3 linked regions of the Macaca mulatta genome follow. The protein of the gene in region 2 purifies or fractionates together with the protein of the main gene of each other region. This does not show direct contact. Links are inferred from orthologs where the notes say so. Each region holds a gene or a part of one and is shown on either strand. Other genes may lie near its edges.

The links. Proteins that work in one complex are often made in the same cells at the same time.
Region 1: the proteins of RBX1 (region 2) and CUL7 purify together in Homo sapiens (affinity purification with mass spectrometry; 9 studies listed by BioGRID and IntAct, with this or other methods). This does not show direct contact. The link is inferred for Macaca mulatta from reciprocal best matches to the Homo sapiens genes RBX1 and CUL7.
Region 3: the proteins of RBX1 (region 2) and COPS7A purify together in Homo sapiens (affinity purification with mass spectrometry; 3 studies listed by BioGRID and IntAct, with this or other methods). This does not show direct contact. The link is inferred for Macaca mulatta from reciprocal best matches to the Homo sapiens genes RBX1 and COPS7A.

The regions. Positions count from the first base shown.
Region 1 is NC_133409.1:139,088,996-139,092,833, reverse strand, and holds the end of CUL7 (cullin-7), read right to left. Parts: intron 3,586-3,838; coding exon 3,425-3,585; intron 3,257-3,424; coding exon 3,040-3,256; intron 2,937-3,039; coding exon 2,666-2,936; intron 1,510-2,665; coding exon 1,364-1,509; intron 1,215-1,363; coding exon 1,088-1,214; intron 995-1,087; coding exon 789-994; intron 534-788; coding exon 210-533; 3' UTR 141-209; downstream 1-140. UniProt on the Homo sapiens protein: Core component of the 3M and Cul7-RING(FBXW8) complexes, which mediate the ubiquitination and subsequent proteasomal degradation of target proteins. Core component of the 3M complex, a complex required to regulate microtubule dynamics and genome integrity.
Region 2 is NC_133415.1:10,578,307-10,582,898, reverse strand, and holds the start of RBX1 (E3 ubiquitin-protein ligase RBX1), read left to right. Parts: upstream 1-1,474; 5' UTR 1,475-1,495; coding exon 1,496-1,573; intron 1,574-4,010; coding exon 4,011-4,089; intron 4,090-4,592. UniProt on the Homo sapiens protein: E3 ubiquitin ligase component of multiple cullin-RING-based E3 ubiquitin-protein ligase (CRLs) complexes which mediate the ubiquitination and subsequent proteasomal degradation of target proteins, including proteins involved in cell cycle progression, signal transduction, transcription and transcription-coupled nucleotide excision repair.
Region 3 is NC_133416.1:7,685,562-7,688,588, reverse strand, and holds the end of COPS7A (COP9 signalosome complex subunit 7a), read right to left. Parts: coding exon 2,859-3,027; intron 1,904-2,858; coding exon 1,798-1,903; intron 1,637-1,797; coding exon 1,485-1,636; intron 1,307-1,484; coding exon 1,267-1,306; 3' UTR 647-1,266; downstream 1-646.

The sequences.
Region 1 (3,838 bases), on a different chromosome or scaffold from region 2:
CAGTCTACCATCCTCACCCTAACAAGACCCTTGGCATATCATGCAACAGACTCAGTGCCAAAGGCTCCTTCCTCACCAGCCGGGAAAGCCCCCGCCACCTCCCAGCTCAAATCTCTAGCAGTTGCCAAACACACATCATATAATCAAACTCTCAGGTTTTATTTCTGTAAAAGCTCCAGCTCTATCTTCCCCTGACCCCAAGTCCAGGGCTACCGGAAGGTAGAGAAGCTCTGGGTGGCAGTGCAGGAGGCATAGGGCACACCCCGGGAGCGAATCTGCAGGGTATGGAAGGTGAGGGGTGGGTTGGGGCCTGAGGAGCCTGGGTTCAGGGACTCGGTGTGAGGCTCCATGACAGTCACAGGGACTGCATAGGTCAGCACCTGCGGCCGGTCATCATGGCGTCTCAGCGTGCCCTTGCCCAGGAGGTGCAGGATGCAGGAGAGGACGTCAGTGCTGCTGCAGGCAGACCCCCTACCAAGGCTGCTGACCAAACCCCTGGGAGGACATGGGCCCTTCTGCCAAGCCTCCAGCACCTGGTGTCGGGGAGGAAGGGACAAGTGGTAGGTTAGAGGCAGCTGACCCATCCTTGCTTGAGCTTCCACTCCAACCACAGGCTGCTAGGACAGGATGCCCCAAGGACACCAGGTACATCCTGACTTCACGCCTCACACTCCTACAGGCTACATAGTGAACCACGTGCTTCACCACACGTGGACCCACCTTGTTCTGTAGACTGCTCCCCCAACCCCAGCAAAGATCCATCACCCACTGTGCCCACCCCTGCCTACCAGACAGACAAGCTGGTCAATGTGCAGCCCCTCATCCCCATGGGCCTTGAGGATTCGGACGATGAGGCAGTTCAGAAGATTCCGTCTCTTCTCCAAGTTCCGGCCCTCTTCACCCTCAGCTTGCAGGTATGTCTGAGGTGGGATGAGCCGCACAATGTCCCATCTCGACCTGGGTTCCTTGCTGCCATCTCGAATCTTGAGGACCCCTGAAATAAACACCGATCACTCACTCAGTGGAGAGCCCATGAGAAGCCCGGCCCTGCCTCAGAGCAGAGGCCCCTCTGGCCCTAAGTGCATACCTCCTGGTATATCCTTTTGCTCATGAAGGTCCAGGGGGCCTCTTGAAGAGGTGAGGGGCCCAATCGCCTCATTAAGCATGTCTTCGGAGAGCCCTGAGAGCGCCAGCAGACTCTCCACAGAGACCGCCTTCAGAGAACAGATGGGAGACATTCAGGGCCTCCCCAAGGAGTGGAGAGAAGAGGATAGAGGGAAGAAGCAGAGGGAGTCAAGGTTTCAGGAAGAGAGGCACGGGACAAAGTGGGAGACAGGAGAAAGGTACAGCAGGGCTGGACCACCTTCAGGTCGTTGAGATACAGCAGTAGCCACATCTGCACAGTGGACACATGCAGGGTCTGGTTCCCAAACTGCAGCTCAGCCCAGCCCAGCCACGTCCACTGCAGTCGCCTCTGTGAGCCTTGCTCGAGGGCAGGATGGCTCTGACCTGGTGAGGTACCAGGAAGGGGGAGGGAGACAAAGAGCAGGGGAAAGGAGGGAGTTGGTGTTGGAGGGAGGGTGCATGCTGGTCAAGCTCTGTTGATCTCTACAGGGCGTGTGACCCCAGCATTTATGGACACTGGAGCTCCTGGTCTGAGCTTCCAGATCTCGGCCTTCTCTGGGCCTGCCTCCATGGCGAGCCTCAGGTATCTGGGAGCTATCCTATGCCTAGCCTGGTGCCAGGCAGGTTCTCATCAGTGCCTTCGAGGATTGCCCCGTGTGTTTTTAGGGAGACAAAACCATGAAGGGAGGAAGAACTGGGGCTCTTACCAAGCTGGAATATTGTGACAGTAAACAATGTCTCCCCTATTAGGGGGCTCCCTGACCACAGGTCTGAGCCTCTTCCCCCTCCTGTGTTGCTGCCAGCTCAGGGATCAGCCCCAGTGGGTAGTTTAGGATGACAGGTGACTGACCAGGAAGGAGCCAGACACTCCTTCCTGGTGGCCTCAGGTGCCTCCTGCCTCCATCCTCCCTGTCACCCACAAAGAGATTCCCAGGTCTTATTTTAAAACAGAAAAGACAATGATCTGGGGATCAGGTATCTGACAGCACCTGCCACCCTCAGCCACCAAGCTCCTGCCCTTTCTTCTCAAAACCACTATTTTTCCCATGGCCTAGGGAATTCTTATCCCTAAAGACTCTCTCTCCCTGAATCTATAAAAACAAAAATTTAAAAATTAAATTAAAAGACCAACTCTTTTTTTTTATTTTTTTGAGATGGAGTCTCACTGTCACCCAGGCTAGAGTGTAGTGGCACGATCTTGGCTCACTGCAACCTCCGCTTGTGGGTTGAAGTGATTCTCCTGCCTCAGCCTCCCGAGTAGCTGGGACTACAGGCATGCACCACCACACTCAGCTAATTTTTGTATTTTTAGTAGAGACGAGGTTTCACCATGTTGGCTAGGCTGGTCTCGAACTCCTGACCTCAAGTGATCCACCCACCTCGGCCTCCCAAAGTGTTGGGATTACAGGCGTGAGCCCTGTGCCCAGCTACAGACCATCTCTTTTCACATCAAGCCTCCCAACATCAGGGTCTGCCCCCAACCCCAGGTCCTTTCCTAGCAGCCCACCCTCTCCCCAGTCCCCTCTGCCTGGCTACTCACTCTTGTTGTAGAAGTTGGAGTATCTGTTCAAAGTGCCCCTCAGGTAGGAGGGCAGGCAGGTTCTGGGGTTCAGTGTGTGGCAGATTGAGGCAACAGGCCAGCAGTGTCGGGACAGGACAAGCACAGACACTTCTGGCATTGCCCCTTCATAGTAGAGGTCCTCATTCTCCTCCTCTTCCTCCTCTCCCTCTGTCACATCCACCGCTGCTGCTGCCCCAGCTCCCTCTTCCTTCTCGCTCTTATACTCCTTGCCACTGTCCCTATGGCCCACCTGAAGGAGCACAGGGTTCCCAGATGCCATGGCCTCCTCCAGTCTGCTTCATGCCCATCTTCCCCCTACCTTCTCATTTGCTCATCCCTTCCAAGGCACTCACCTGTATTTTCTTCTCTGTATCCTCCAGCTTTAGGAGTTCCTGATCCAGCCGCTGGAGCTGGTAGACGTGGAACTGGCGCTGTAGCTCCTTAGAGGTGCTCAGGCTCTGCAACATCTGCTGGGGGAGGCGGTTGGGGAAGCAGGGACCAATCTGCTCCAGCACGGCCCCCTCCAGCCAGCTCGAGACCACGCCCAGGAGACGGTCCGCCATGTAGTGCCTACAGTGCATGCAGCCCGGGCCAAGCCTCAGTGTGGGCACCAGTGTGGCCCAGCCTCCCACTCCAAGGCTCCAGCCTGGCTCTATCCCAGACTTCCAGGCCCATGAGCTGGCTCTTCCACCATCATCCTGCCTCCCGCCAGCTCCCGCTCCTTAGGTCCACACTCACTGGTAATAATGCTCAAAGGTGGTGGCTATCTCCAGGCCGGAGAAAATCAGGACAGCTTGCAGGCACTGCTGCAGCTGTGCCAGCCTCTCCATTTCCTGGGCTCCACCAATCCGGCTGCCCTGGATCTGCTGGTCAATGTGCCGGGCGAACTGCTCACTCACCTGAGCAATGGCAGAGCACAGGAAAGCCATGAACAAGCAAGCAGAGCAGGTGAGTGGGGAGGAGGGACGAGGGTCTGGAAAGTAGATATGAATGCTGGCAGCTTCCTAAGGTGGTTGGTGCTTTCATACAACTATTATATACGATCATTAACCATTGTACAAATTAGCAATATTAACAATTATGGAAAGTGTCTTTTCATTGTGTCTAAAAATTCAAACTAATAATAATCATTCAAAATGAGAAAATAAGGCC
Region 2 (4,592 bases):
CTCCATTACTCTCCAGTTATCTTTTAAGAGAAAATAAAAGGCTTCAAATCACCTGTACGAGATCTAAGAGTGCTCTGGCGGAGTCATACCTCTGCAAGGTTAGAGATGTCAAAGGGAGTCCTGGTCTAGCGAGAAAAGGGAGAGTGACACAAAGTACAGGTGCTTGGGTCGGGCGCGGTGGCGCACTCCTGTGATCCTAGCACTTTGGGAGGTCGAAGTGGGAGGATCGCTTGAGCCGAGGAGTTCGAGACCAGCCTGGGAAACAGAGTGAGACCTTGTCTCTATTTAAAACAAAAAAAAATCGGCTCTAGCCTGTAATTCCAGCACTTTGGGAGGCCGAGGCAGGCGGATCACCTGAGGTCAGGAGTTCGAGACCGGCCTGGCCAACATGGTAAAAACCCGTTTCTACTAAAAATACAAAAGAGCCGGGCGTGGTGGCGGACACCTGTAATCCCAGCTACTAGGGAGGCTGAGGCAGGAGAATCGCTTGGACCCGGGAGGTGGAGGTTGCAGTGAGCCGAAATCGCGCCAGTGCACTCCAGCCTGGGCAACAAGAGCGAAACTCCGTCTCAAAAAAACACCCCAAAAAGAATGCTTCACAAAAATTAAAGAAATACAGCGACTGCAGATGGGTCGGTTTCACTATAGCACAAGTAGCGGAAAGAGGACACAGACTGGGGAGAAATCACCCTACACAAGATGACAACTGAGGAATGAGAAGTGGGGACTGACACACGCCACGGTGAAACCGCGCACCACGACCAAAGGCGGTCCTAGGACTGCGACTAAGCGGGCGCAGAGGCCACCCTCCAGGCTTGGCGGGGGGATGAGGGCAGCACTGGGGGCCTGCTCAGTCTGGCCTTAGGGAGGACCTTCGGGGCTCTCCTCTCTCCCCATCGATCCCTGAGCAGTTCCCGAACAGAAATCGGAGACCAGACGGTGCCTGGGCCCCAGCCCTCCCACGCGGACTGCGCCTTGGGCCTGGCTCGGAGGTGGGTCAGAGTCTGCGAAAGACCAGCGAGGGCTCTCAGGTTTCGGGGCAGGCGGCGGGCGCCCACCCCGGCTAGCAATGGGAGTCGCGCGGCGACCGGGCGAGCCCGGTAGGCAGGACAGGACTGCGGCGCAGGTCCGACTCAGGCGGAGGAAGCAGCCGCCGCCCCAGCTGATGGAGTGCGGCCGGGGGCTTCCCAGAGGAGGCGGCGACCTCGAGCCCTTTCGAACGTTTCTACCAGGCTAGCTCACGTAGCCTCGGCCCCGCCCGGCCCCGCCCCGCCCCACCCACTCCGGCCACCGCCCCCTCCCCGGCCGACACTTCGCGGGTGGGGCGACTTGCGATAGCCCCTTTAAGAGGCGTGGTCACGTGCTCCGCCCCCACCTCCCCCACGCGCGCCAGTAAGGGGTGGGGTGCGGGAGGAGGTGCCGGGGAGGCTGGGGGAACGAGGTGTGCGCTGCTGCGCAGGCGCGGTGGTCGGACGACAGACCGTGTGTTTCCAAAATGGCGGCAGCGATGGATGTGGATACCCCGAGCGGCACCAACAGCGGCGCGGGCAAGAAGCGCTTTGAAGTGAAAAAGGTTGGGTCTCGCCAGCGCCTTCCTCAGGGAAGCTAGAGAGGCGCGGATCTGGCTGGCAGGCCCGAGGATGGTCGAGGCGCGGAGTAAAGGGTTTCATTTTAGGGCGTTCCTGGGACCGGGTACCACGAAAGGAAGTCGGGGGGCGGGCCTTAGAGTTGATCGGCGTGACGGCGGCCCACTGTCAGGGGAAGTGTTGGTTTCGATGTGAGGCTGAGGGGCCAATCACAGAGCTGCTTGTTGAGATACGCGGGGTTGCGACTTGGCGGCGGGAGCCAAGCGCCTGAGCTGTCACTGGAGTGGTTGAGAGGTGGGGGAAGGTAGGGTGGGGTGAGGTAGGGTGGGGTGGGGTGGGGTGGGGTGGGTGGAATGGGGAGTCAGAGCGACTGCGGCGGTGGAGGATGGGGCAGTGCGGCGAAAGCCTGGAACCTGAGGTCCTACCGCATTGGAGGCCTCTGAGGAGCCCCGCTAGTGATCTTGCTCCGCCCCTTTTTGAAGCTTGCTTGGGGTCCTCTCACTTGAAGGGATCAGACTTGTTCCTCGCTGAACCGAGGCCTCCATTAACCCCATCTCTGGGCCTCACACCGCCGAGTTAGAGTCTGGAGTGTAATGCTTGGGTGTTCTGAGACGTCTGTTGGCTTTTCCCACAACCACCCCACTCTTGGATTCTCTGTCACGTTCAGAATCTCCCCCTTCCGAAATAATAATAAAAAGCACGGTGGAACTTGTTAAGAAAATCCGAGCCCAAATCCTGTGGCATTTCGGAAGGGTTGAGTACTAGTTGCGAATGACTTGGTAAGAGGGGAAAGCAAAAATGGAACGTGTCTTTTGCATGAAATGCATTTTAGTGGTTTGCCACAGTTTGGGAGAAAAGTGTCGATTCCCACCTAACATGAAAACTATTCGAAATGGAGATTCTGAAATAGGGAAGATATTCCTGGAACATCTGGCTAAACACTGACAATATCCCCCCCCTCCTAGTGCTTTTTGGTGTCTCATTGTGGCCACTGCTGCTCAGTTACAGCCAGCCATATTGAAGAATAATAGAAGTAGGGGCTTTTCCTCCAAGTTGAAGCTGTGATGTGAAAAGTGGTGAAGAAGTTACTAGGCACTGAGACTGGGGTTTGAAAGCGATGAAGGTTTGGGAGTACTTGTAATTGAGGAAACCAGAGTTGAATGAATGAAATGCCACTTTTAATTAAACTCTTACTGGAATTATTATCTTTTTTTTTTTTTTTTTTTTTTTTTTGAGACGGAGTCTAGCTCTGTTTCCCAGGCTGGAGTGCAGTGGCCGGATCTCAGCTCACTGCAAGCCCCACCTCCCGGGTTCACGCCATTCTCCTGCCTCAGCCTCCCGAGTAGCTGGGAGTACAGGCGCCCGCCACCTCGCCCGGCTAATTTTTTTTGTATTTTAGTAGAGACGGGGTTTCACCGTGTTAGCCAGGATGGTCTCGATCTCCTGAACTCGTGATCCGCCCGTCTCGGCCTCCCAAAGTGCTGGGATTACAGGCTTGAGCCACCGCGCCCGGCCTGGAATTATTATCTTAATAGAAGAGTCTAAACATATAAAAGTTCAGAACATCAGTTTATTTTATGGTAAGAATCGAACAAAATTCTAGTGAATTGTAGAATTTGTTATGAAGTAATCTAAGATTTAAGTGATGACCTTGTTCTGTGTACTGACATGGGCAGTTAATTATCCAGCTTATCCCACGATTACCTGTTTTATGATCCAGTCATCATCTTAGTTCATTCTGTTCCCTAGCTTTCACTTCATTGCTCATGCTTCCAAAGCTGCCTGGAAGAGCAGATACTTATTCAGATTTTGAGCGCTTCTGCAACTGCCACCAAAACCTGCACAGAAATTCAAGTTTGTGCTTTTTTTTTTTTTTTTTTTTTTAGATGGAGTCTCACTCCATCGCCCAGGCTGGAGTGCAGTGGCACGATCTCGGCTCACTGCAACCTCTGTCCCCCAGATTCAAGCGATTCTCCTGCCTTAGCTTCCCAAATAGCTGGCATTATAGACACCCGCCACCAAGCCTGGCTAATTTTTGTATTTTTAGTAAAGACGGGGTTTCGCCATATTGGCCAGGCTGGTCTCGAACTCCTGACTTCAGGTGATCCACCCGCCTCAGCCTTCCAAAATGCTAGGATTATGGGCGTGAGCCACTGCGTCCGGCCAGACTAAATTGTTTTAAACTACAGGAAACAAAAGATGACATTCATTTATGTCTTCATATACTCAGTCTTTTGGAGAATAGGAGAACGTATGTGTTGTCTACTGTTGTCTTTGGTATAATAAGATTAACATAATATCCAAAACCTTTTGTTTGGTGGTTCCTTGTGGCCAGAGATCATAACTACAACTGCAGCCTGAAGTCCTAAAAACTGTGTGTGTGTTATAAGGAGAATGCATTGTTCCCTCTTTTTGTCTTTGCAGTGGAATGCAGTAGCCCTCTGGGCCTGGGATATTGTGGTTGATAACTGTGCCATCTGCAGGAACCACATTATGGATCTTTGTAAGTAATTGGAGGAGGATGGGAGGAAGTTGAGAAGGTTGCAGAGCTTGTGGCTATCTTGATGTGACCGATTTTCTTCTTCACAAGCAGATATCAAGCCTACTCTGAGCACTCGGTCTTCTGTATCTAGTCTTTTGGTGTGTTTGAAATAGAGTAGTTTTTTTATGATGTCCTGGAGGCATACCCAGCTTTCAGAATAAATCTACTCAATCTAAAGATGGCAGGAACACATTTAGAATTAATTGTGGACAACAGGCACTGTTGATTCTTCCTGCATATCTCCCATCTTGTACCTAGACTCAAAGGTAGAAATACTGAAAGGAGGAAAATAAAGTTTGAGCTAAAATATTCTATCTGAGGCGAGGCGTGGTGGCTCATGCTTGTAATCCCAGCACTTAGGGAGGCCAAGGCGGGCAACATGGTGAAACCCCGACTCTATTAAAAATGCAAAAATACTCTATTAAAAATGCAGAAATTAGCCGGGCGTGGTGGTGCATGCCTGT
Region 3 (3,027 bases), on a different chromosome or scaffold from region 2:
CATGCATGATCTTGGCTCACTGCAACTGCAACCTTCACCTCCCAGGTTCAAGCGATTCTCCTGCCTCAGCCTCCTTAGGGGATTATGGGCATGCACCACCACACCCAGCTAATTTTTTTGTATTTTTAGGAGACGGGGTTTCACCATGTTGGCCAGGCTGGTCTCACACTCCTGACGTCAAGTGACATGCCCACCTTGGCCTCCCAACATATTGGGATTACAGGTGTGAGCCACTGCGCCCAGCCATATCCATTACTTCTGAATGGATGCTGAGCAACCTGTCCAAAGGCATACAGCTTGAGATCTAGGCCTCAGCCAGAGACTCAGCAAATAGTATCTGGGTCTCTTCATTTTCCAGTACTGTTTCTTTTAGAGTGAACTGGGAATGAGTCTTCTTCCCATCCACAAATATCAAACACAGAAGATACCTGGTTCAGGGTAGTTTGTAGATAGATTTCTCATAGATTTATTTCTGTGTCATGTTATATATAGATATATGCATATATACCTTTTTTTTAATACAATCTATATACCCTTCCCTTCCCCACCAAACTCACAAAAGGAGATTAAACCCTTCCAGGATTGCCATCAAGCTTCCCAAAATGGCCAGGGCCAAGAAAGACCCATCTCTCAACATGTTACGAAACGGCTGCCATTCTTAGGCTCTGGGGTTGAAGCAGCAGCAATCCCAGGACCCAAGGGCCAGAGAGAGGAAAAGAAACGACTGTAGTGTGACAGGATTCTAGGATGAACATGTCCAGTGACTCCTGGAATGGCAGACTGGCTCCCAGAATTCTCAGGGTGTGAGTAAAGGTGGGGGCCCTACGGCTCTTCAGAGGCTGCTCAATAGGTGGAGGGTAAGGTATAGGAATTGGGGATCAGGCATGCAGGGATGAGGTGGTAGAAAAGACGCCTGTGGGTTATGCTTAAAACACAGCAACCCCTATCAGGGCTACCCACCTACTCAGTGACATTTAATGAACAGGGACAGATGCTGAGCTCTTAAGGAAACAGGGGAGACAGGATGGCAGCGGGGAGTAATGGAACACACAAAGTCACAAAAAACAAAAAGTACCAACAAAAACATAACCTGCATTTGCCTCCTCCCTAGAGAAGGTGTGATCTATGTTTGGGGTTAGGGGAAGTGAAGGGTCATGAACCTAGGATTATCAGCTGGCCAGGGGCACAGGAAGGCTCTCTGAGGACTCCTAAGAGGCAGGCAGGCAGCTGGGACCCCACATCCCCAGGGAGGAAACGACAGTCCTTTCAATTCGACTTGGACCAAATCTTGGCACTCCCTCGGAGCCTGGCAAGGAGAAGAGAGAGAAAGAGAAAGAAAGAGAATGCAGGGAATCCCCTAACCTCTGGAGGTTCCCCCCACTCCCTACTCCCATGCAAGTAACTGAAGGAAATGAGGACAGAGAGGTCCCTGGGGTAAAAGCAGGGCACCCTGGAAGTGAGCAGTTCCTGCTACCCTGGCTCACCCCTTGCCCTTTGAGGCTTTCTTGCTGGGCTGACGCTGGTTGGTGCCAGGAGCTGGTTCCCTCAGCTCAGTCAGGTGTTGCTCAGGGTCCTGAGATGTGGCCGCGGCTGCTGCTGCCGTTGTAACTTTAATGGTTTTTTTAAGGTTGGCAACCTACCAGGATGAAAGGAATGGGGATAGCAAGGAAGGTTCCAGAACCTTCCAGCCCCTGCTCATCTGGTTGTCTGCTACAGCCACTGTCCAAATCCTCTCTGCAAAGGACAGGTGGCCCAGGCTGGGGGAGCTTGGGTCTGCCCGCTCCCCTGACTGCTCACCTCACTCTCAATCTGCTGCTTTAGGCCCAGTTGCTGCTCCTTGTGCTGGTTGGCACGGCTCACCTGCTCCTCAATGCCTGACAGCACAACCTCACAGCCCACACACCTGCGGGAGTCAGGGCAGAGAAGTGTCAGCAGACAAGGACTGCGATCACAGACTCGCAGAAAATGGACTCAAAAAGAACCCTAGAGGCAGGGCGCAGTGGCTCCCCGCCATAATCCCAGCATTTTGGGAGGCCAAGATAGGCAGACTGCTTAAGCTCAGGAGTTCAAGACCGGCCTGAGTGATACGGTAAAAACCCGTCTCCACAAAAAATACAAAAATTAGCCGGATGTGGTGGCACGAGCCTGTAGTCCCATGCTACTCGAGGGACTGAGGTGGAGGGTGGCTTGAGCCCTGGAGGTTGGAGGCTGCAGTGAGTCAAGCTGGTGCCACTGCACTCCAACCTGAGCAACAGAGCCAGAACACAGCTTCAGGCATTTTGAGTCTGAGTTGGGAACCCTCACCAGGGCACCTAGAAACTACCTGTGATAACACTCCTAGCAGTGGGATGGACACTCAGTGTGGTCAGAGAGCGATAAGGAAGTACCTGGAGTAATGTGCAAGATGGGAGTAGGAACTAAAAACAAAATAGGGCAGGAGATGCTAAAGAGCAAAAGAGGTGACTTAATGAATACAGAAACCCTGAAGTTAGATGGGGACACAAAGAAAATAAAAAAGAGGAAAAGGTCCATGGCCTGTGGACAATGGTAGTTATAGACCAATCAACAGAATCCAGCCTAAGATAGGCGACCAACCTTACTGGTTAGGATCCCCTCAGTTGTACCACTCCCTTTCCCTCCCCCAATTGCTGTATCAAGGACGCTGACTTCTGCCGCCTCCCAAGGTCTCCCCACTCCTGCATTCCCCAGAAGCCTTTGGAGGGATAAATTCATTTCCCTTCATCCTCCTGGGTTCCACCTCTACAGACCAGCCCAGCTCTTGCCCTCTCTCACCCTGAAGCGCCTTTCTCCTTCTCAGGGTGACAAGGAAGGGGACAGTGCCAGGATACGGTTCTCACCATTCCTGCAGGGTTCGGGCAATGGCATTGAGGTCCTGGCGCTGGATGTCCCGCCCGATGCTGTAGTCAACCTCGAGCCGCTGGTTGCGCTGGTCCAGGGAGCCACGAAGCACGTCAGCATACACAGCCTCAATCACAAGGTCTTCCAGCTGCCGCACATTACGCAGGG